Linked DNA regions of Arabidopsis thaliana. The protein of the gene in region 3 interacts with the protein of the main gene of each other region in a pairwise test. Each region holds a gene or a part of one and is shown on either strand. Other genes may lie near its edges. The genes, in order: ROXY1, ROXY2 and TGA9.

Evidence for each region.
Region 1: the proteins of TGA9 (region 3) and ROXY1 interact in a two-hybrid assay, tested with the Arabidopsis thaliana proteins (one study listed by BioGRID).
Region 2: the proteins of TGA9 (region 3) and ROXY2 interact in a two-hybrid assay, tested with the Arabidopsis thaliana proteins (one study listed by BioGRID).

What each region holds. Positions count from the first base shown.
Region 1 is NC_003074.8:330,522-337,287, forward strand, and holds ROXY1 (Thioredoxin superfamily protein), read right to left. Parts: upstream 2,552-6,766; 5' UTR 2,402-2,551; coding exon 1,991-2,401; 3' UTR 1,754-1,990; downstream 1-1,753. Other genes in the region: ACR6 (ACT domain repeat 6), read left to right, coding at 78-260, 348-938, 1,004-1,108, 1,219-1,545. UniProt on the Arabidopsis thaliana protein: Has a glutathione-disulfide oxidoreductase activity in the presence of NADPH and glutathione reductase. Reduces low molecular weight disulfides and proteins.
Region 2 is NC_003076.8:4,538,614-4,545,729, reverse strand, and holds ROXY2 (Thioredoxin superfamily protein), read right to left. Parts: upstream 3,951-7,116; 5' UTR 3,816-3,950; coding exon 3,393-3,815; 3' UTR 3,145-3,392; downstream 1-3,144. Other genes in the region: AT5G14080 (Tetratricopeptide repeat (TPR)-like superfamily protein), read left to right, coding at 474-2,127, 2,215-2,465; CARAB-AK-LYS (Aspartate kinase family protein), read right to left, coding at 6,737-6,823, 6,921-6,983, 7,066-7,116.
Region 3 is NC_003070.9:2,619,227-2,630,672, forward strand, and holds TGA9 (bZIP transcription factor family protein), read right to left. Parts: upstream 9,369-11,446; 5' UTR 9,057-9,368; intron 8,703-9,056; exon of another isoform or gene 8,595-8,702; 5' UTR 8,505-8,594; intron 8,496-8,504; exon of another isoform or gene 8,282-8,495; 5' UTR 8,226-8,281; coding exon 8,119-8,225; intron 7,643-8,118; coding exon 7,548-7,642; intron 7,047-7,547; coding exon 6,964-7,046; exon of another isoform or gene 6,587-6,963; coding exon 6,377-6,586; intron 5,698-6,376; coding exon 5,659-5,697; intron 5,499-5,658; coding exon 5,439-5,498; intron 5,108-5,438; coding exon 5,030-5,107; intron 4,871-5,029; coding exon 4,822-4,870; intron 4,717-4,821; coding exon 4,445-4,716; intron 4,224-4,444; coding exon 4,002-4,223; intron 3,209-4,001; coding exon 3,066-3,208; intron 2,975-3,065; coding exon 2,887-2,974; 3' UTR 2,634-2,886; downstream 1-2,633. Other genes in the region: AT1G08310 (alpha/beta-Hydrolases superfamily protein), read left to right, coding at 1-66, 171-391, 465-729, 801-1,112; AT1G08315 (ARM repeat superfamily protein), read right to left, coding at 1,274-2,251. UniProt on the Arabidopsis thaliana protein: Together with TGA10, basic leucine-zipper transcription factor required for anther development, probably via the activation of SPL expression in anthers and via the regulation of genes with functions in early and middle tapetal development.

The DNA.
Region 1 (6,766 bases), on a different chromosome or scaffold from region 3:
GTTCAAGTGGTTCTGTACCAAACAAAGAGATTTTGAGAAAACAGAGTTCCCTGTTTGTTTGTGGTGCTAAATAAAAGGTTGATAGTGTGAACAAACATGGGACTCTATTGGAAGTAGTACAAGTGCTCACTGATATGAATCTTGTGATCAAGAAAGCTTACATCTCTTCCGATGGAGGTTGGTTCATGGACGTTTTCAAAGTCATCGACCAAGATGGCAATAAGATCAGAGACACTCAAGTCCTTGACTATATCCAAAAGGTTTCTAATGTATTTCATCACTTTTTTTCTTTCATTTTCAACAGGTTTTTTTCTTTGTGTAAAACGTTTGTTGAATTCATTGCGCAGAGGATAGAGAGCAACGCTGGGTGGTTCATTCCACCTTTGAGAAGCTCAGTTGGTGTAATGCCCACTGACGAATACACATCCATTGAGCTCGCTGGAACTGACAGACCCGGTCTCTTGTCTGAAGTATCTGCTGTTCTCACAGACCTTCACTGCAACGTTGTGAACGCTGAGATATGGACTCACAACACCAGAGCTGCAGCGGTTATTCATGTCACGGACAATTCAACTCATTCTGCCATTACTGACCCGATTCGCCTTTCCACCATCAAGGAGCTGCTGTGCAATGTAGTGAGGACAAACAGCGGCTCAAGAGCTGCGAAAACAGTCTTCTCTTGTTCTGATACACACAGGGAGAGACGGTTGCATCAGATCATGTTTGATGATAGGGACTACGAGGGAGTCAAAAGAGCAAGGACATCGGCGTCAAGGCCCAGTGTCACACTAATGAACATTGAGAAGGATTATACCGTTGTTACCATGAGGTCCAAAGATAGACCAAAGCTTGTGTTTGACGTAGTCTGTACTTTGACTGATATGCAGTATGTGGTGTTCCATGGCATGGTCAGCACAGAACCAGTGGAGGCTTATCAGGTAACTACTCAACGGCCGTCTGTTGGGATCTCTCTTCTAACAATAATATGAGTGTTTTGCTGCAGGAATTTTACATCCGTCATGTGGATGGACTTCCCATAAACTCAGAAGCAGAGCAAGAACGTGTCATACAATGTCTGGAAGCAGCCATTGAGAGGAGAGCATCGGAGGTAACCAATTAGGAATGTGAAAATTCTCTGTCTTGGCTCAAATTACATTCTGTTCTGCATCGATTTCTGATATACTCAAGACAGATTGTGCATATGAAACATACTTTCAGGGTTTAGAGCTGGAATTATCAGCAGAAGACCGAGTTGGTCTTCTCTCAGACATAACCAGAACATTCCGAGAGAACAGCTTAACCATTGTGAGAGCAGAGATATCAACGCGAGAGGGTAAGGCTAAAGACACGTTCTACGTTACAGACGTGACTGGAAACCCGGTTGAATCAAAAATCGTGGAGTCAATCAGACAACAGATAGGAGTAAGCAAGCTGAAGGTGAAGAAGAAGGAGAAGGAGCATTGCTCTGTTCTTGGTACAAGCAGGCCTTCGCACGAAACAACTACAATGGGGTATTTGCTAAGTAACATCTTCAAACCCAAGTAGCTTCAAGCTTCACCTATCTCACTCATAGTCATAGAGTGTGTGTGTGCTTTGTATAGGTTAGACAGAGTAGGGCATCATTTAAGCTGATCGTAGCGATCCCCTCTCAACAAGTCCCTTGTGTGTAAATTTGTGTGAACAAAATAACAGGAACTGCCTTTGAATAGATACGGCGTCAGTTAATACCGTTGATTAATGGATCCAGGGGACATTAATAAAGATGCAAAGTGTTTACTATTATGATTTAATGAGAGCATTCGAAAGATCAATAAGAGATGAAGAAGAGGAAGACAGAGAAAGGTGAGCTTAAAACAACTCTCTCTCTAATTACAAACTATAATCTAAAACCTGTCATTACAGCCATTGACTAGTTTCCTAATCTTCCTCCACCACATTCTCTTACAAGAAAACTTCAAATAGAAAAGAAAAAAGAAAGCAGAGGAAGGGATCAGAGCCAGAGAGCGCCGGCGTCTTTGAGAAGAGGAACGAGAGAGCCGTTTATGTGAGAAGCCATGACTCTGTCCATAGCTCCAACCAGTTTACCGCCGATGAAGACGACCGGGAGAGACCCTGGAGAAGAGGAGCCGGAGCAGCCGAGGAGACGAATGAGGGCTCGCTGGATGTCGCCGCCGTAGGGGTGGAGGTCGAGCTCGTGGACGGCGGGGCTGACGCCCATTCCTCTGAAGAGACCCTTCACGGCGTGGCACATGCAGCACGTGCTCACGCTGAAGATCACCACCGCGCTCTCAGAAGCCAGGGACTCTATACGAAGCAGACCAGTGTCAGCCACCATCCCCAAACCGCCGAATCCTAAGCTGCTCATCTTGTATGATCCCCACGATTCTGTCTGGTATTGCATCTTTGATATCTCTTCTCTTTCTCTTGTTACACTTTTGTTTGGAAAGAAACTAGATTAAACACGAATAAGAGAGAAAGAGGGATTGGCTAAAGTTTGTTGGTGAGAAGAGAGTGAGAGCCATGCAGAGTATTTATAGAGGCCTACTACACCTCTGAGTCTAACTCTGTTTTCCTCTAATTATTAGTATTATTGTTTCTTTCTTTATTATTTGTGTATAATAACATGACCTCTATTTACTTCTCCATGAAAAAAAGAAAAAAAGTAACAAAACATATGAATTAAAACCGATGACATCAAGATAGTGATTGCTGTTGAAAACAAACACCGATAATAGTTATCGGAATAATTTCATTTTTTTGTAAAAAAAAAAAAAAAGGCAAGGAGAGTTGAAGAACAGGCTTTTATCAGAAGGGAGTTGTTGGTAATAGACGGCTCCGTCTGTCCTTCTTGTCGGCTCTTACCGCTCTCACCATTAATTTTCTTACCACTTAATTCTCTCTTTTTCTTTCTTTGTATTTTCAGATACATGATCATAAAGTAAGAAACCATAATTTCCACGTAGATAAGCTCCCTCAATCTGTACAATATGGATTTTGGCAGGGTTTTTCTTTTATTCCATTCTACTCTGTAAAATATATAATTCCATACGACCGAGTAATCATCAATCCAGCAAATGTGTAATCATCACATCATAATTTGTTAAGGAGTCAGAATCTTATGTTTCTTATCCAGATTAATAGCATCCTCCTTATATATATAGAAAAAGAATTATGACTCGAGAATTATGATGTGTACATATTTTATAAGAACAGCACCCATGAATTAATTTGGATGGGTTTAATTATAACAATATTAAAATTTGAACAATTTTATATAGAAAAAGCCTTTTTTTTTTTTCTTCAAAGTTTACAAAGTTTGTAGTTTGTGACATGCTTTTGGCTTCCACGCTTGTGTCCTTTATACACGAAATGCCTTTTTTGTGTGTCTCAGGTTTGAGCTCCACAATAAATTAAATCTTAAAATGAGATTTAAAACGAAGGATTGATGGAAGAGAAGATTTTATATGTATATTGAATATAGTAAGAGAAGTCCGTACAGTTATGCTCCCTCTAGCTGAAAAAGAAAGTTACTTCTTTTAGTGTTTAAACTCATGTATTTCTTTTCTGGAAAAAAATCTTTGCATGAGAAATCGTAAAAGATAAATAATCTTGTCGGATTGTGGTTGTCGGATCGCTTTACCTTTGATTTTTGATTTTTTTTTTAAAAATCTAGTTTTCCTGACAGAAGACTTACGTAACACTTGTCATACAATGTTTGATCTGTTCAACCGATTCTCCGATATTAACCCTTTCGAGTAGCGTATGTACATGCTTTTCAATAAGGGTATTTTGAACATTTCTGAAGTTCGTATTCAACGCCTGAAACTTGAAACTTTGAACATTCCTTATTCCTTTGTATATTGATCTAGCTCTTTTCTGTTTTTGGCTTTTTTTTTTATTCTTCAAAGTTTAAATATGTATATACAAGGCTAACATTATACAAAACTTTAAAAATCTTTCGTTTTATGATTATCAATAAAAAGATGATTTTCTTCTTGTAAAAAAAAACATTTTAGAGAGAAAAAGAAAAAAAAAAAAGAGATTTTGATCGATCGGACGGGTAGGGTTAGATGGCAGGAAACGAGAGCCCTCTGGCCTATATTAATTAGTACAACAAAATATATAAATTGATATCAAAATAAAAAATAGAAAGAATACGAGCGTGATGCTATCTTTTCAGCTTTATCTGGTCTTTGCCATTTATAAATATCTGTGTGTATGTCTCTCTTTGCACAATATTAATGTTGTGCTTTGTTATAAATATATCTTCATTTCATATTTTTATATTTTCAAATTTCGTTTTTTTTTTACCTCTTACGGTGAAACAAAGCCGATAGGGAGATGAAAGGTGGGGTTTGAACTAAACCCTAAAATAAGCTTTAGAGAGTTCTATCGTCGAAGTATAATGGTCCGAGTCTGATTCCAACACCTGACCAAGATATGTCCCTACGGGTTATAAAACAATGTATATATTATATATATACAAACAGCTGGCTCATATATATCTGTAATACACTGATACAGAGGAAGGTACATATCTGTGCCTATGTATGCGCGTGGTGTAGCTGTATATGCTATGGAACATGTATATATGTTATAATGTATATTGAATTTCCAAAAAGCTTTAGTTAGTAAAAAAATAAATGGAAAACGTAAAAACAAAAAAGAAGGCAAAAGAAAAAGGAAGATATCGCATGTCGGTGTCGCGGCGAAAAGGCGGTGAGGGTATTGTGGGAGTGCTCACGAATTCCCCTAAAAATCCTCATTTATAATTAGTATATAACCCTAAGCCCATGCAAACTGCAATCCCACTCATCTTTATCACTAACACTAACTATCTTATTATTTCACCAAAAGATAAAAGTATTTCATCGAGATATACGTCGATATGTTGTTCTGCATGCAGGTGCATGGCCCTCTATTATTTTTTGTCGACCACAAGTTTTTGTCTGTTTACAACATAAGATTTCACTTATTATTGTTTTTTTATTTTAATTGTTTGTTTATCGCACTGATAGTCTGATACACACATTCACGAACTGCGTTTATCCCTCATTGCCACCTAATAATTAACTTAGGCTTCACAACATTTGTATATCCCAATTCATTTATTATATACAGTTGTTTACCGCTACATATATGTGCATAGTTAATCTAGGAAATTAATGTTCTAAGCTTTTATCGTAGTTAATATTGGAACAAAAATATATAACCGAGTAACAAAAGTCGTAGTAAATAGTTTTAAATATAATATTTAACAAAAAAATATAGTATAAATATAATAATGCCGATCGACACCAAAGTTATAACTATATATCAATCCAAGCCTCCTCATTCAGAAAGCTTTCTTTTATAAAACTGAAATATTGTTTAGTATAATTAGTACTAAACAATGGTCAAACTGAATATTCACAATTGTGTTTAGTATATTTCGAAGTAATTTATCGTGTAAATAAAATATTAATTGTATATATCGTTGTAAAATATAAGAGGAACAAAAAAAGAAATGGAAATAGAGTAAATAAATCAGTGATTAAGGAATGGGATAGACACAAATGAATCATACGGATTTAAATTAGAAAAAAAGAAATTCAAAATAAGAGAGAGGGTGATTGACCATCGGGAGGAAGAGAGGGACATTGGCAACAAAGTGGTAAATAGAAGTAGAATTAAGAAGACAACAACAATAAAAGAAAAGAAAAAAAAGAGAGAGAGAAGAAGAGATGAAACAGAGTTTTGTGCCCCACGCGAGCCGCCTCGCCTCCCCCTATACCCTGAACCTTTTTTTCTCTTTCTCGCTTAAACAGACCTAAACCCAATTAATCATCCCTTAGCTTATTTATTAGGGATCATATTGATACGGAATTTGCAGTCCCCACTGATAACTGAAAGGCTTTTATGTAGTACTAGTCGTATTTACGTGAACACATTATTCTTTGAGTATTATCTTCCATACAAGAGGAGTATATTAATAGACTTTTACCTTAGCACTCCGAATGATCCTCGACTATTGTTTATTAATACACAAAACACTCCTCTCTTTTTTTATTCGTACACAAAACACTCCTCTCTTCTTTTATTCGTTATTTTAAGAACTGAATTGGTGTTCCTTTAAATTTTTTTTAACACGTTCCACGCGTACTTTTTGTGTGTTTACCTTTTTTAATTTACTAATTAATAATGTAGTACGTACTATATAGTTAAAGAAAGAGGGCAAAATGGTAAATAAGAGAAGAGCAGCTTTAAGAAAAGAAGAGAAGCAATATTAACTCTCTCTATATATCTTAAAGATGTACTGTAATAAATAAAAATAAAAGAAGAAGAAGAAGGAGAAGGGGCCGTTAAAGGAGTAACCGACAAGACGGCTTTACTTTTTCAGGCTTTGCTCCTTTGATTGCCTCATCTCGCTGCTGACGTTATCCTCCCGTTGACTGTCTACGCACTCCCTTTTTTTTTTTTTTTTTTTTCCCTAAATATATTTACTCATTATTATGTCATAGTTTTACAAGGTCGAGGTTTTGTAGTTTTGTTAATGCTGCAAATACTACTAATGTATACTAATGCTGCAAATACTAATACTTTTTTTTGTTTGTTCCATTTTTTATTGGTATATAACTATAAATTATAAGAACGTATAGAGATGTCTAGCAGTTTTGGTCAAATAATTTGTAATATTACGGAGTATATAATATAGAAATATATGGTACGTTGTAAATGTAATGAAGGGATATATGCAAAATAGTACTAATATATAGCTTCGTGCGCG
Region 2 (7,116 bases), on a different chromosome or scaffold from region 3:
TTCACTTTCCTTATTGTATCTCCCAGTCGACATTATTCCCAAGTAGAGATAATATATTCTCTTTTTAAAACAAAAATTTAATTACTGAAACCGTAAAACATGTAATGGTTTCTTTCTTTTCTTCTTATTCTTTTAGTGGGTCACTCCTATAGACCCCATCTGCAAAATTACCAAAAAGTGAGGTTGTTGTTGTCATGTCTGGTTGTGAATTGTTGTCATTTTCCTCTAGGAAACTTCTCAATTCTCATGTAAACAATTGAACGACATTTACTGTGTGTATGCAGATATTTGATGGGCCAAAAATGGGCAAGTAATAAGGATTAATCTCGTATGCAAAGTTTTGGGTCACTAAAAATCACTTTTTGGACTGGGCCAGTATGAGTTTGACTTCTAACTAATGGACTCATTAACCAAATTCGATTTCTCCAACTTGTCAGCGACTCCCTGAAAATGTTGACGTCAGCTTCTCGGCCATGAGACCTGCGACGGAGCTTGCGGTGAGGATCGGCCGAGAGCTGCTAAAAGTTTCCGGAAGCTCTCGAGCTGCTCGGATATGGAGTCCATTGATTGAACAGAGTCTTCACGGTCTCGGTTTTCGTCACTCAATAAGCCCTTCGCTTGTGGCTCGAGTCATAGACCCGTTTCTGCTGAATCATCATTCTCTTGCTCTCGGTTTCTTCAATTGGGCTGCTCAGCAACCAGGTTACTCTCACGACTCCATATCTTACCACTCTATCTTCAAGTCTCTTTCGCTTTCTCGTCAGTTCTCCGCCATGGACGCTCTTTTCAAACAGGTTAAATCGAACAAAATCCTTCTCGATTCTTCCGTGTATCGCTCCCTCATTGATACGCTTGTGCTGGGTAGGAAAGCTCAGAGTGCGTTTTGGGTTTTAGAAGAAGCTTTTTCAACGGGTCAGGAGATTCATCCCGATGTATGCAATCGTCTTTTAGCTGGTTTAACTTCTGATGGATGTTATGATTATGCACAGAAACTGTTTGTTAAAATGCGTCATAAAGGTGTTTCGTTGAACACTCTTGGATTCGGTGTCTATATAGGATGGTTCTGTAGAAGTTCTGAAACGAATCAGCTCTTGAGATTGGTGGATGAGGTTAAAAAGGCTAATTTGAATATCAATGGCTCAATCATTGCACTGTTGATTCTCCATAGTCTTTGTAAGTGTTCACGAGAAATGGATGCTTTTTATATATTGGAAGAGCTAAGGAACATAGATTGCAAACCGGATTTTATGGCTTATAGGGTCATAGCTGAAGCGTTTGTAGTTACTGGGAATCTGTATGAGAGACAGGTTGTTTTAAAGAAGAAGAGAAAGCTCGGAGTAGCACCTAGGAGCAGCGATTACCGAGCTTTTATTCTGGATTTGATTTCAGCTAAGCGATTAACGGAGGCTAAGGAAGTGGCTGAGGTGATTGTGAGTGGAAAATTCCCTATGGATAATGATATCTTAGACGCGTTGATTGGATCTGTCTCTGCAGTTGATCCAGATTCTGCTGTTGAATTCTTAGTTTACATGGTCAGCACAGGGAAATTGCCTGCTATTCGGACTCTGAGCAAGTTAAGTAAGAATCTTTGCAGGCATGACAAGAGTGATCATCTGATAAAGGCTTATGAGCTTTTGTCAAGCAAAGGTTATTTCTCAGAACTTCAGAGTTACAGTCTGATGATATCGTTCTTGTGCAAGGCTGGGAGAGTCAGAGAAAGTTACACTGCTCTGCAAGAAATGAAGAAGGAAGGGCTTGCTCCAGACGTTTCACTCTATAACGCTCTCATTGAAGCTTGTTGCAAAGCGGAAATGATCCGTCCAGCAAAGAAACTGTGGGATGAGATGTTTGTGGAGGGCTGCAAAATGAATCTGACGACATATAATGTACTTATTAGGAAATTATCAGAGGAAGGCGAGGCAGAGGAGTCTTTAAGGCTGTTTGACAAGATGCTTGAGAGAGGGATAGAACCAGATGAAACAATCTATATGTCACTCATTGAAGGCCTATGCAAGGAGACAAAAATTGAAGCTGCTATGGAAGTTTTCAGAAAGTGCATGGAGAGGGATCATAAAACAGTTACAAGAAGAGTATTAAGCGAGTTTGTCTTAAATCTATGCAGCAACGGTGAGAGAGAACAAATATGTCTTCTAGTCTTTTCCAATTGCCTCATGTCAAGATATTTATTGATTCGTTTGGTGTGTATGTGTGAAGGCCATTCTGGTGAGGCATCGCAGCTGCTGCGCGAGAGAGAACACTTAGAACACACAGGAGCACATGTCGTGTTGCTGAAATGTGTGGCGGATGCGAAAGAGGTTGAGATTGGAATTAGACATATGCAATGGATCAAAGAGGTATCGCCATCTCTTGTTCACACAATATCTTCTGACCTGTTGGCGTCTTTCTGTTCATCATCTGATCCTGATTCCATTCTTCCATTTATTCGAGCAATTGAGAACACATAATTACACCAATAGGCAATTAGATTAGATTCCCCAAATTGTATTTCCCTTTATTCTGTGTAGATTCCTATACTGCTGTAATCAAGATCTCTGGGTGACTTACACGTTACGAGTCGTTTATTGTCTACGTAAGAATTATTCTAATGAGTATAACTTATCTCAAGGTATATATGCTATTTAGTTCCTTCTTTTACTCATCATGGTAATTGATGAGCCCTTTAAAGTTGTAATGGAAGTGAAATGTTTAAAAACCTTCCAAACTCAGATAATGTGACCTTGTAATTGTAGTTTTCTTACAACTTTGAGAAGAAGAAAAAACAAAGAAAAGGTGACATGTGATTGTATGAAATATGAATGACTGAAGAAGTGTTCTCTAATTTGTTTTTTAAAAGCAAAAATGAATTAGGAAGGAATTGATAGCTGTAAAATCAGTGACGTTATTGGATGATCATGTACGGGCTCTTCTTGACGCAACGGTCGGGTCAAAATCACGGATTATTGTTAGTGGGTCTCCACGTAATCTGGAGTGGGGACCCCTCATGAGGTGATTATTTCCCCCACAAGTTAACAGTTATAACGGTTAAGATTTTAGGTCATGAAAATAACCTCCTCGTTCTTGTCTTAGTTTGACCTTTAATTTTATTTTATTTTCATGGCAAATTTTTATTTGTGAAAAATGACCATTAAATTTTGCAAATCAACTGTCAAATTGTAAAATTAGAGATAAGAAAGCTAACAAGAGACATAGCGATTAGTTAACATTTATATATTAGTGTGATTTAAGATAGACAAAGAGCTAAGCTTAAAACAAACGCATCACTCTTCTCTCTCACTGTCTCTAATTCAACACTGGGATTAACCTATTTCTTCTGTCCTTAAAAACCAAAGATAAACCAAAGGTTGATATTTGGAGGATGAGATTAGCACTCATCAGAGCCAAAGAGCGCCAGCATCTTTGAGAAGAGGGACGAGTGAGCCATTGATATGTGAAGCCATCACTCTCTCCATTGCTCCTACCATCTTCCCTCCGATGAACACCACCGGAAGTGCCCCCGGAGATGTGGCGCCACCGCTGGAACAGCCAAGGAGACGGAGGAGAGCTCGGTGGATTTCAACTCCGTAAGGGAGGAGGTCGAGCTCGTGGACGGCGGGGCTGACGCCCATTCCACGGAAGAGACGCTTGATGGCATGGCACATGCAGCAAGTGCTCACGCTGAATATAACCACCGCATTCTCTGCCGCCATCGACTCTATCTTCGCCAGTGTCTCCGACGGAAACACATTCATGTTGTTCATCACCTTACTGTTGTTGTTGTAGGACAACGACCCTCGAGTTTCTGTTTTGTATTGCATCTTTTTTTGTATTCTTAGAGAAAAAGAGAAAGAGAATAAGAGAGTGAGAGAGCGAGAGAATTTGTGTGAGAGTTGGTTGGGGAGAGAGTGAGAGGCATGCAGAGTATTTATACATGGTGAAGTTCTAAATTTAACTGGTAGGTTTTAATTTATTTTAAAATGGCATATTATTAGAGAGGATATGCCAAATGATAACAAAGTTATTGATGTGATAGTCATGGACCATCATGGTTGCTAGCTTTTGTTATGATAGGATGATATTTTTAAGAGACATTTGAGTCCCATTTAAGTATAATTATTTATTTTTTCAAGATTTTACAACCATATAAAAGTAGAATATTATTCAGTTAAATAGGTTAGTAGAATAAGGGAATTGTTGGTAATGGATATATCTATCCTTCTTGTCGGCTTTTTCTGTAATATCTTCTTACACATTTACACTAGCTAGCTAGTTTTTGTCTGCGAAATTGGTCCAATATTATCAAATACAAATGGTCCAATATATGCATATATATAAATACAAATGGTCCAATATTCATGTGTATATATATATATTGTATATAGAGACGCGCCGAATAATAAATTTGATGCTGCCAACATTATGTGAGCAAGTCGTAACGCAGAGATGAGGTCGAATGTTTGGATATATGGCCGGTGGTTTTCCATTATATTCCGTATTCACTTTATGCTCTCAAATCCTCTCTAATCAATCTCTATAAACAAGCTACATATAATACCATTATCAATATGATCGCAAAAGGAGTGGAATATATATTTTGGATTGTGTAATCCAATTAGCATCTCACAAATGTAGCGCTAAACATATATACAAGTTGGAATATCTTTTGGTGATCAAGATCGAATTTCGTAACCATTTTATTATTCTTAGCCCCTAATGGGATATAGAAAATTGGCTAGTTAATGTTATATAAAAAGAAATAAAGGAGTCATCAATATTCTTGAGAATGAACTTTTAAAAGAGATTGTAGTTGCCAACAGTGTTTAGTTGCTTACCATCAGAATGTCAGTGTTCTTGATGTATGGAAATTACAAGTTGGCATGTGTTCTTGGTTTGCTACCATCTTTTTCTTTATATATGATTATTAAATGTTGTGAATTCAGTTAGACAAAAATGTATAGTTCCATATATATATAGTTTGGATTTGTAGATAATTTTACCAAAAGGCTGAGAAAAAAGGTTGAATTTTACAAAGTTGGTCACATGCTTTTTTGGCTTTCATGCATGCTTCTGCCTTCCTTTTGTTATCTGCAAAATTTGCCTTCTTGTTTCTCATGTTTGACCAACCCCTTCCATAAAAAGGAAAAATGCTAAAATAAAAACATTTATCGTTGTCAGCACAAACAACTTGTTATGAAATTTGTAGGTACCCAATCTGCAATATAGAGTCACCTCTCATCGATTGATTATATATGAATAATATCCCTAAATTATTCATATTCTATACATCGATCTATTTGAGAACATTTCTGTTACTTTTTAAGAAAATAAAAGAAAGCTTAAGATATGGGTATATATAGTTTAAGTGAGTCCGAAGAGTTAAATGTCCCTTCATTGGTTTAAGATTTGGTGTATAAACTAATTAAAGCTGATTTATATGATTTGGAGGACTAAATCTTTGTTCTTAAGATGATGATAAAATAACAATCTTTGAGGGATTGCGTTTGTCGGACCACTTTATCATATATTATATGGAAAAAATTGGAAGGCCGTTACAGAAGCCTTACGTAACAGATTTCATCAGATGTGTATTTCTCGTTGACCGGCTGGTCGGTCGGATATGACCCTGGTCAAGTAACTGTTGCTTATGCTTTTCAGGAAGGGTATTTTCGGTATCATTTAAAGTGTTTCTTTACTTTCTAAGGGCATCTTCAAGGCTCAACACCATTTTGGTGTTCAAATTACATCATTTTTAGCACTAAAACTTGTGTTTTTTCCGACCATAACACCAAAAATCATACTAAAAAAAATATATACTATTATATTATCTATTTAAAAGATTTCTTTTATTATTTAATAGTTTTGATTAGTATTTATTACTAGTATAGAATTACATAACATTATAAACATAGTATATTGAAATATATATTTAAAAATACATAAAATTGTAACTATTTTGAGTATTTTCATACATAATAATATAAAAATATCATAACTAAATAAACTATTTCAAGAGATATAATATATTAATGTATCCATTCATTTTTATATTTTATATCTATTAATCATTTGTAATTTTATATTTGTTAATTGAATTTTTATTGATATAATAAGTGAATAGTGTTTAGAGTTGTGAATAGTATCACACCAAATTTGATGTAACACTGTAGCATTACACTAAAATGGTGTGAATTTTAGAGTTCCATTGGAGAGCTTTTAGTGCAAAAATTACACTAAAATGGTGTTTTAGAGTCCCATTGGAGTTGGCCTAAGCCTGCTCCTTCAATGCTCACTTTCTCTTCTATACTGAATTTGTTTTTCTTTTTCTTTTTTCTTCTTTTGTTGACAAGAAGAAATTATGAAAATATACTGATGTCAAAATGAAGAAACTAATTTATATCTTAATTCTTGTGAACAAAATAGTATAATTACCATTGACTAATAATTGTAAACCTTATGTCATAAAACCAAATCTTAAATCCTAAAAACTAAGCTTTAAATCTGAATCCCTACTCAACACACTGGTTATTTCTTTATTTCTTTTTGAGCTTGTCTATGTACTCTTTAAATTAAAAGATTATAGGCTTTGGCTCAAATTATGATGTATTGTATCACAACAACAACAACAACAACAACAACAATGGACAAGAATTTGAAATAGTTCCAAGTCTTGACACATTCTTAGCATTAAACTACGCACAGAAGCAGAGTTGAAGGAGAGAGATGGGTGCTCTGTGTTGCACTAAGGATCGGTCTCAAAGAAGGCGGAGTGGAGAGCCCTCACACATTGCTCTGCCTCTTCATCATTCACTATCAATGAGATGTTTACCTGAAACACACACACACACACACACATATCCCCATTCACTATAACCATAAGTAAACCATATTCATTCACTATCATGTAGCAGCGGATTCCATCTAACCTTAGATGCACCCTGCGAGATCATCTGCACATTCACTCCATTGCTTCTAAATACTTGGAACACCTGTTTTGTCATTCATTCCATTCCCACTAAATTAAAACTTCAAAATTCAAAAGAGAACACAAGACATGTTACTCTCACTCACCTTCTCTAATATGAGTGAGGATTTCTGAACATTTCCTATGAGAGAGATGAT
Region 3 (11,446 bases):
AAATACAAGATCATTCTTGTTCATGGCTTTGGAAGCTCCAAAGATATGAACTTCTCTGCCTCAAAAGTAAAAATGCTTAATATCTTGTCTGGATGTTTGAAACGCCTCTGCTTTTATATTTGTTATCCTTAAAACAAACAAAGAATGGGAAAACCCTCACTTGGATTTAGTTTTTTCAGGAGCTTATAGAAGAACTTGAGGTGTACTTGCTATTCTACGACCGTTCTGGATATGGAGCATCAGATTCAAACACAAAACGTTCGTTGGAAAGCGAAGTTGAAGACATAGCAGAACTTGCAGATCAGCTGGAGTTAGGACCTAAGTTTTATCTAATTGGAATTTCCATGGGATCTTACCCTACTTGGGGTTGCCTAAGACACATACCTCACAGGCAATTTAACCATTCCTGAAACCCTTAAGGATAAGTTGTAAACAGATGAGAAACTATTCCGTTGTCTTTGCAGGTTATCCGGCGTGGCTTTTGTTGCTCCGGTGGTTAATTATCGATGGCCTTCACTTCCGAAGAAGCTAATCAAAAAAGATTATAGGACAGGTATTATCAAATGGGGTTTGAGGATATCAAAATATGCACCTGGACTGTTACATTGGTGGATCATTCAAAAGCTCTTCGCTTCAACTAGTTCGGTCCTTGAAAGCAATCCGGTCTACTTCAACAGCCACGACATAGAAGTGCTCAAGCGAAAAACTGGTTTTCCCATGCTTACTAAGGTCACTCCTAGTTTTCTTCAGTTTGTTGTGATTGATCAGCTTTGGCATGATTATATATCTCTACCTTACAGGAAAAGCTACGGGAAAGAAATGTTTTCGATACTCTAAGGGACGATTTTATGGTTTGTTTCGGGCAATGGGACTTCGAACCCGCGGATCTAAGCATCAGTACAAAGAGCTATATTCACATCTGGCATGGTAAGGAAGACAAAGTTGTTCCATTTCAACTTCAAAGATGCATTCTGCAGAAACAACCTTTGATCAACTACCACGAAATCCCCCAAGGCGGACATCTGATCGTACACTACGATGGCATTTGCGATACGATTCTACGTGCACTATTGCTCAAGGAAGAACAACAAAAGCTGTATAAAATAAATTGATTTGTAACAGATTCTGTGTTTGATTGATTGATTCAGTTCTACAAAACAAAGTATGTTCAAAGTGTACATTGTACAATGACAATATATATGTGTATAATATAAAGTGTTTGAATCAATGAATGTATTAGTGAAACAAAGTAACATTTGAGATATTTGTGCAATCAGCTGCTTCTGCTATTTGGATTTTCATTGAACAAATAATCAAAACGTGAATCGCCGCCGCCATTACCGGAGACAACGAGCTTCAACAGATCAACCGCTTTCTTCCTTCCTTTCAGACTACCATTCTCAGCTACATACACGATCCCTTCCATGGCTCCTTCATCAGCACCAGACGCAACCGCCGCCGCAACTTCAGACCTCGCTGCAGCTCCTCCACATCTCGCCAGATTCAAAAGCGCACCAACGGAGTTCTCTTTGATCCGTAGGCTCGAACCAGTGCAAGGATCTAACAGATCCGCTAGAACGTTAGCTCCTGAAACTCTCCTCATCCCGTCCTCGCTATCTTCGCATCCAGCGACTTGCGCCATAACCGCCGTCGCATCTTCAACGATCCCGCACCGCGAATCTTTCACGATCAGCGAAAACAGAGCCGGAATCGCGCCGAGAGAGATCATCGTCGATCGGTTCATCGGATACAGAGCGATCGCGAAGAGTGCCTTGAGCGAGTCTTTGATCGATCGAGGATGCGAATCTGGATATCTAATGATGTGAATGAGGGAGAAGATGATATCGCGCTTAGATCCGATGATAGGTCGGTAAGACTCTTCGGCTATCAAAAGGCTATAAATCGTAGCGGCGGAGGATTGAACCGCGGCGGGGGAAGTGGTGGTGTCGTGATGACGAAGCGCGTGAGAAAGCGCGTCGAGTAAGCCGCGTGAAGACATTAGGGGTTCGCGAGAGGTGATTGAGAGGTTGAGGAGAGTCGCGGCGGCGTTTTCCTGAGAAGAGTGTGACGACGAGTAAAGAGTCTCGGCGAGGTACGGAATAGCTCCGGCGTCGGCGATGATTAGACGGCTATCAGGATCTTGTTTGGAGATGAGTCTAAGCTCAGCTAAAGCAGCGGCTCTGGTTTGCTCAGAGACAGAGCTAAGCCTGGAGACGATTGTTGACATGGTTCTACGCTTTGCTGTTTCCATTGAGAAGATTTTGATGAAATAGAGAACAATTCTCTGTTTTTTATCTTTATCTTCAAACCCTAATTATCGTTTATTGGATGATGGAGTTACGACTTTTTGTTGAACAAGCCACTTGTATTAATTGTATTAAAGAGTAAACAAGAATGAAAGAGTCATTGATAATTCATCTAAGTGGGAATTAAAGGTCTTAACTTTTTTCTTTCGTCAACAAAAAGGTACAACTTTGTCTTTTTATACCAGAATTGTACTTCTTTATCCAGGATTCAGGAACATGTGTCAGATCTTTATTCCATAAGAAAAACTTGATCGTACGAAAAAAATTCATGCTCTTGTTCTTGTACTTGTAGAGATATTTACGTTTCTGTTTAAAATTGAAAATAATTGAAATTAAATTTCAGTCATCCTCTCCAAAGCATTCGTGAAATTAAATTTCAGTCATCCTCTTGTACTGTCGAAGAGATTCAACATTCATTTTTTTCGTGGTACGTTAATTTCATAGTAGCATAAAACTATAATTAAAAGAAGAATGTCGAAGGAAGATCCTATCTTTTCTCTAGTACAACTTTAAAGGAAATAGGTGAAATTACGACAGACAATGAAACTTGGCCTTTTAGTTATACAAAGTTTCATTCCATTCAGAAATTGGAGAAGTGGTTCCGAGATGACTGAACAATCTGCAAATCCGTCGTCGTTTGACAAGAGGTTTCATCACTCATCAGTGTCCTATTCACATTGATAATTCCCGATATCAAATTCATATTTTAGCATTATTATACGTCTATGAAATGTATATATGCATAAAAATGTGTCTTACTCTCGTGGGCGTGACAACCAAAGGGAGCTAAGAGCTCTGAGCCGTCCATAGTACTCTCCGATGACTAGGAAACACCGTGCAGCTTGTCGGACGGTCAAGATCCGCCTCAGCTGGTGAACGGTCTGCTGCCTCAAGTTATCAGCCTTCATTTAGATTAATAATAGAAAGAAAAAGATTACAGTTAGTAATCACATCTTTTGACATTTTAAGATTATTTCAATATTTCTTTTGGTAATATTATTAAAAACTAATAATTATAATTGCATACCTACTTACTACCTTGGTGGGCTAATGGGTATTACAAAAGTCAATACATATCAATAACAATCAATTTGATCATAATGTTTGAAAACAAGAAATTTTTTTAAAATATTTTTGTTGAGTTCAAAACAAAACATTGAAAGAGATGGAGAATACTTTTAACATATTCTCTTTGTCTTTTTTTCAGCTATATTATATATAAAAGGTAAAAACAAGTTGGTGAAAGAAATTTGGCTCTTGGAATAATTAAATCAAAGACCAAAACAACATATAATTATTATAGAACATCAAATGTTGCTTTCACGTATTGTCTGTTTCTGGATTATTTGTTTTTTTTTCAATTAGATAATTTAGCCAGCACATACGTTTGTTCATATATGTACGCAAAATATATGCACGTATTTCCGCATTTTTAAACATTTGTACATCTAGTATATATATAAAACGTTAAAATTTACCCAATATATTTCTAAAAAATATATTCGAATTCCTCTCTAACTATAAACCAAAATACGTTGCAAATTTTGTTTAGTCAAAAACTATCTACAGTTATATAGTAGGTCAAATTTTGTGTATATTTCACACGGTGTTTTTTTCTCTCGTTTGCATTCGTTTGTAATTATTGTTCGAGCAAATGAAGTAAAAAAAAAAAAAAGATAGGTGAGAAAATGGAACCTGGCGGATAAAGCCTTCGAGATTAGAGATCTTTCCGAGAGCGACAGCCATTTGTTGCATTCCGTCAATGACTGGAGATGCGGCGAGAGTATCGATGAGAGATTGCTGAAGTTGTTCGAGGCCTTGCGAGAGAGCCTCCTCTGCTTGTTGCGACGAGTGTTGTAGGCTATATATTCCCATCAGTTGTTGCTCCGTCAATAGATCCATTTGCGACACCAATATCTAAGATCACATCCCTTTCTTTAGTTAATCATGATTCCACAACTTTTTTATCACACGCAAATAATTAAACCGAAGAATACTCATTTCTGTTTACATTTTGCAGCAATGTTTCAGATTTGTTGATGTAATTTACTAACGTGAATATCATTTTGTTTTTCAAACGCAAAACCTAAAACTTACGTTTGTAATCATGGGGTAAAGTAAGGAAGAACAAGTCGAACCTTGATTAGGTCGGATGGACGGAAACCAGCCATCCAAATAAAACAACGTTCGGCTGGGGACATCCATGTCCCAATGATGAGGTGAAAAACATCGGCTTTCGCTGCCACGGCTTTTAATCGGAATATCTCATCAAAATGAGCAATGTAACCGTCAACGATCAACCTTAAATCATTGTCAGATAAATGAGCCTGAAGACCGGTTCGAATCTCCGACATATGCCGGTTATCATCCTCTAGCCATCTCCCATATTCCATGTCAAATATTGCAGCTCCTACGTACATTCGATTTTCAACATTTTGTTAATAATAGTTTAACCATTATTGTACTTATTTTAATACAATAATACATTGCAATTGGTGTTTTAGGTTTCAAGTACCGGAAGTGATGTTAGGTCCTGGTGGTCCACAACCACCCATGAACAGCCCCTACCATCGACATAAACAATATATTAATTTCAACAAACAGACATTATTAATAACCAATGAACAATTGAGAAACTTAGCAAATGACAGGTTTTGACAAATTTAAAAAAAGATTTAGCAGAATATATAGGATTATAGGAATATAAATGATTCAATTTCAACCTGAGAACGAGCTCGCTGAAGTTCTTGCTCCAATTGGGAAAGCTTTATCCTACTTGATTCTAGCTGTTGCACATACGCCTGCTCAAACCATATGTATATGCATTTGTTATTTTCATACTAGTATCATTACATATAGAATAACAAGAAATGCGGAACTTATACGTTCATAAATGAATTATAGAAGACTGGTAAATGGTAGATAAAGAAATAAATGCTCATGTAACAGCGGTTTCCAAGAAGAATAAAAGACACCACTGCGTATGTTTTACTAGTAGCAATAGCATTATTGTAATTCTATGCAACAAATTATCATTTGGAAAAAGTAGCAAAGAATATATAAATAGGTCAAAAAAACAAAAACAAATGATAATAATTTGAGGTGAAAAGTCAGGCAATTATATGGTCATACCTTTTTCCTAAGACGGCTTTTGCGAGCAGCTTCTCTATTTTGGGCCAAACGTCTCAACGTCTGCATAATCCAGATTTAAGAACATTTAAACAAGAAGTTAACGAATTAATTCAGGTAAAAAAGGTTACTAAAAAGTAAGTACATATATAGGAATGGATATGTCTCCTCGGGGGAGTCAAATAAAATGTATAGGAAATGATGATGATGAAAGTTAAAGTACCTTAGCATCAAGCTGTTTGCCTGAAGTTGTAGCCTTCCTCTGCAATGTCAGAGAACAGAGATGAAAATAGAAATTCATTCAGTGGAAAGAAAGTAAACATAAATTAAATTGTGTGAGTGAAGTCGACTCATGTGATAAATATTTAAATACCATTTACACACAATTAAAAAAACAGCATTATTAAATACTTTTTTTTAATGTAATATTAAATCTAAGCAATATGAACTCATTTAGGGAATATATGTGTTGTTAAAGTAAACATAGAAATGAGGATATGTAATCATGTAGTAAAAAGTAAATTATAAAAACAATAATAACACCTAGGAAGATTCTTCTGCTTTATTCCGCTTTTTGGGGATTTCATTTAATAATTTGTATTTTAAATTTGTCTGTTTTCATTATTTTATCAACGATTCGAGAGGTCAAAATTCTGAATTTTCTCTGATCCGTTTCCTTTTTGGGATCTGTGTATGTTTTTGTTTTATTGGAAAGATTTGTTAGGACATAGACATATATGAAAAAGCATGTGCATGCATATCTATCAAATGACAAGGAGAGAGAGAGATAGGCTAATGATATACATACCATGTACATGCACCAAATTAAGCATGCATGTTTCATGATGACTCCAAGTACGTACCATGCATATATCTCTTTCTAAAATTAAATTTTAAAAAGTGATGATGATGATGATGATGATGATGATGATGATGAGTACCTTATCTTCCGAAGGTTTAGGAGGAGCTAAAGTTCGAGAAGTGGAAGGAAGTCCAGATGTTGAACTTGAGTTTGCCATGTTATTATGATGAGGTTGAAGCATGAGATGATGTTTGCTACTCATAGGAGACTCCGGTTGTTGACTTTCAGCTTTGCCGGAGAAATTAGCCGATCCTGAATCGCTGCTCTCTCCTCCTGACTTGGAACTCTCCTGCAATACATATTCAACATAATCATACTCATCATCATTAACGTATAAGATAATTAATAAAAAGTCAGAAAAGGGATAATCAATGTAACTAAGGAGGAATTGACCTTAGCGTATATAATTTGACAAACGGGGTACTATAAGTTTATGTAATATAAAATAAAGTCAAGAGAAAGGAATGGAGTAATTAACTACTCTAAAATCGCTATCAGCTTTTGAGTTGAAAGAAGCAAAAATAAGAGATAGTAAGAGGAACAAGAAAGCTGAAACATGTATATAAAAGTGAGGGTAAAATGAAAATATAAGTTTTAAGTTTAAATAGGAATGCCGAAAAAGGAGAAAAAAACAAGAGGAAAGGGTCAAAGAAGAAGAAAGGGTACAGTAGGAAGAGTTTGGTGAGTTCTGATTGGCCACGAAGGGAACATCTCCAGAGTCGTAGCTCCTCCTCCTCCTCCTAATAAAGCTGCAATTTTACCCATCATTACATTTATCAGATATGTAATGTTCATATGTAATCATGTAGTATGCTAGCTACTTATTAAATGTGTGCATGCATGTATATGTGTTTTTGATGTAATTTAAGTAGTACTACAATATATTCTACTTAGAACTAACTACATCATTTATCACGTGGAATCTATATATAACATGACACATTTTACTAATAGTATAATTATGAATATTTTGATATAGAGGAAGTTAGGGAGTTGGTAAAAGATATTTTCTTCTTTTCTTATTTTCTAAATAAAGAGAAGAGAAATAGAAAAACAAGTCACGCCATCCAAGGCTCTCTTTTGCCTCCGTATCATCACCTAAACCTATCTAAAGACTTGTTCAGACTACTCTCAGCTTTTTATTTTGTTTTTTCCAGTTTCAGTTTTTTGCTCAGAATTTTAAAAACTTTATTGGAGTTTGTTAAGGAAAGCTCACGTCATGAAGATTTGAGAGAGAGAGGGGGGCTTACGTGGCTTGGCTTCCTCGTTCCTATACTTGACACCTTGCAGAACAATTGCTTCTTCTAGCTCTCCAAAATCGAAACTGGACGATCCATCTTGGTTACTGTTTCATTTATTAATAGTATTGTTTAATTAGTACAAAGAGAATATTCATCATGTGTTACTACAACTATACAATCAGAAACCAAGAAAAATTGGAGACCAAAAGGAACAACAATTAAATTAAAATATAAATACTTGATTAGAGGGTCGCATTTTGAGTTAGAAGATTAATAAAGACGGTCGCATATAATGAAAGTTTACACAAAAGCTAAAGCACATATAAAACCTATTTCGGATGATCCATAACACATTTTTTAGTTTCTGTTTTACCTATAGATTTCCGTTGACCATTTCATATCTCATAAATGAAACCGTATAACATATCATAATACTACTAAGAAAATGACAAATTGAGAATAAACAAAGAAAACCCATATAAAATTCAATTAGAGCTCAATATTAAGATATGTAATATGAATAAAGTTGAGCTTTATGTATATGTAAAGAAGAAAAGACGAAGGAAGATTTGTTAATTACATGAAACCAGAAGATGGATGATTGTTGTTGAGACCATGAATAAGTGAATAAGGAAGATGATGATTGTGGTTATGGTTTGTAGCTTCGCTCATTCTATGGTTCGCCATCTCTACTCAAGAAAACAGCTTCAATTGATGATATCTCTTCTTGATTAGTCTCTTTTCTGCAAAACACATTAAATCTTGAAATGATGAAAAAGATGATAATCACTATTGAGAGAAGCTCGAGTTAAGAAACACAAGAGAGAACTAGCTAGGGAGAGGGAGAGGGAGAGAGATTGCAAAGTCTTATAATTAATTCTTGATTAGTTGATCAAATGATTGGAATTTGAAAAGAAAAAGCTAGTTGATGATATGAACATGAAAGTAAGATATCTATGTGTTTACCTTTTGTGATGTTTTGCTTTTGGTGTTTGAGAACAAAGAGGAGAGAGAGAAAGTAGAATGGAAGCTTTCTCGTCAAAGGCTTTTTTATGGCTGAACAGAAAAACAAAAGAGGGTCCAATCTTTTCTCTTTCCGAGATACATATACAAAATTATGTGGGCGTGTATATATTTGTAGTTGGATAGAGAAATGATAATAAAGTATTAGTAATTGACTAATGTATAGTATCATTACTCTTTCTCTCTTTATTACTATTCTCTCTATACTTGTATGTGAAGAAACCTTTGTGATTCATCATCACTCTCTCCTTTTCACCACCTTTCTCTATCTATTTCCATAGTAAACACAAATTCCACTTGCTAAATTTCAAAATTTTATTGAAGAAAACAATAAAGAAATATTGATAATTTTTCATGGTAAATCAGACGAAGATCTTGTCCTTCCTAGACTTTGTCTCCAGGCTATATTTATGTGTTGCATTTTTTTTTGTTTTCCAAATAATAATATTGGGTTCAAAAAAGTTGTACAGAAAATTGAAAATTTAGTTGACTAACTTTATAGCTGTCAAGGGTGAAGCTAGTACTTGGCAATTGATCAGATGGAGTGGACGATCTCTATTCATACACAAACCTGAAATGTAGAAGTTAAACAGAAAATCAAAAGTCTAAGAGTGCTTAATTAAAAGAGCTTTATCCTTGTTAAGAAAAAGAATGGAGCTTTATCTTTGGTAAAGAATAAAAGAGCCTTATCCAATATGTAGAAGATAAATAAGATGATTGGATATAAGATTAATTGGACCGATCACAAGAAAATGGAGGTAGATTATTAAGAAAACTATCGACTTCTCTAGGTAGAAAAAAATTGAGCGAGAAGAAAATTAAATGAGAGTTTGTAATTTAGTCCATAAAATAAAAATAGAAGAAAGAGAGCAGAAAAAGAGGAGGAACCCACTAGAATCACTGACTCCTACTCCACAATCTCTCTCTCTCTCTTTGTAACCGCCTGTTTGTGCTTATTGGCTCTTTTTCATCAAATCTCTTTTTGGGCTTATTCACGTACACATTTTTTCAATAATCTATCATCTTTTCTGTAGTATTATTCATCGTATTCACGTACATGCCTATATCAAAATACGTATCTGTATATGTGAAAGTAAAGTGGTGAAATTTGCATAAAAGAATTGGGTTTCACTCTATCATCTTAGCAGCATGGATCATGCATGAAGTTATTTTTTCTAAGTAGTCTGTGTGTTAATCTAAAACCAAAAGAAAACTAACAGGAAAATTCTAGAATTATATCAAGAATCTTTGAATGGGCATGATATATACAGCATATACTTTATATTTTTGCCAAAAAAAAAATGATATATATATCTTTAGTCTAGTAAACAAATATATACTATAACTAAATGATCGAATACAACTCCCCAGCTATAGTTTAAGCTAAATTATATATATTATTTGGATGATCTAATGAGTTTGTTATTGGAATAGTACTAGAGATAGTGATGAAATAATGTTAATACACATAATCATAAATTCATAATCAAAGACAATGCATTAATGTGGGATAAGGAATGTTTGTTGATTTGTGTATGTATATTAAAATAGCAGAATCGAGTGAGTTTCTATTTCTAAACTACAACTCTTTTTGTTAAATGACCTTTGAGACAGAGAGAGGGATAAGAATAGTATGAATATAATACGTCTACTTATATGTAACACACTATACATAATTACAGATTTTTTTTTAGTTTCATCTTCAGTCTATAACCTTTTGAAAGCCGAGAGTGATAATATGTGAAACAGTTTCTGAAAGTTTTTTCTTCTTCTCAAAAATTAACAGCTTTTAGGCTTTAAGTTTCAAATTTGGATATAATAGAACTAGAGCAACTTTCTCTAGTCGGTTAACCTAACATACTTAAGTATTGAATAATTAACTATTTTGCCTCTACCAGTTCAACCAAAAAAGCCTTAGAATAATGACAATTATGTAGACCAATAAGATAAAATTAAACGGCCTTCTTGCATTAATCGTAAATAAATATAGAAAATAGCATTAAAATTATCAATAATTATTGTAAACATCTCAATCGAGTGTTATTTAAATTGATTAGTTTGGTATTATCCTATAATTTTGTTGATCGGTCAACATCCACTCCCTGTCATCACCTAAATCCTAATGCCACATTTCAGATTCCTTTCCTTTATTAGAAATTGTTATATGCCTCCTTTGATTCGTATAGCTGTTTTAGTCAATGCAGCTCTCTTGCAAATCCACATTTGTCATGGCTTTATTCCTTTAGTTTGTGTCATAATGACCCCCTCCGAATTGAGAATTTATTTTTCACGGCTCTTTAGATGCTTTTTTTGGGTTCGGTAGAAGTATATAACTCACGGTTAAGCTTTTATAGAATCTCAATATTAATTTGTCCATCAAGGCATCAAAATAATGTTTAGATTACCATCTCAGCCCAATACCGGCCATAATCTTATATGGAGGATGCATATTATTATGTAGACATCAATGATCAATCACTTTGGGACAACTACTCAAGCTCGTTTTCTAACGAATTGGGATTTTTGAATTACTTACTCAAAATAGTGTAGTCGGTTTTGGTCTAGCATGATCTAAAAAGTCCAACAAGCCGAGAGGCCCAAAACCCTAATATTCAAAACTTCGTGGCCTAAATGTTTCATCCTGTGTAATTTTCTTCAACAACCATTATCTTGGGTGAAAATTGTCAAATTTGCATATTTTCCATTATTGTCATTGACTTTCTGATTCGGTAACAGTCATATGATGTAAAAATGGGCCACATCCTTATTTGGTTTGCTTCAGGCCCATATTCGTTTGGGCTGTTAGATTGTAGCAATGGTACAAAGATCTGCAATTGATGTAATTTAACCTTGGTTAATGGTGTAATTTTATTTTATTTTGTTGG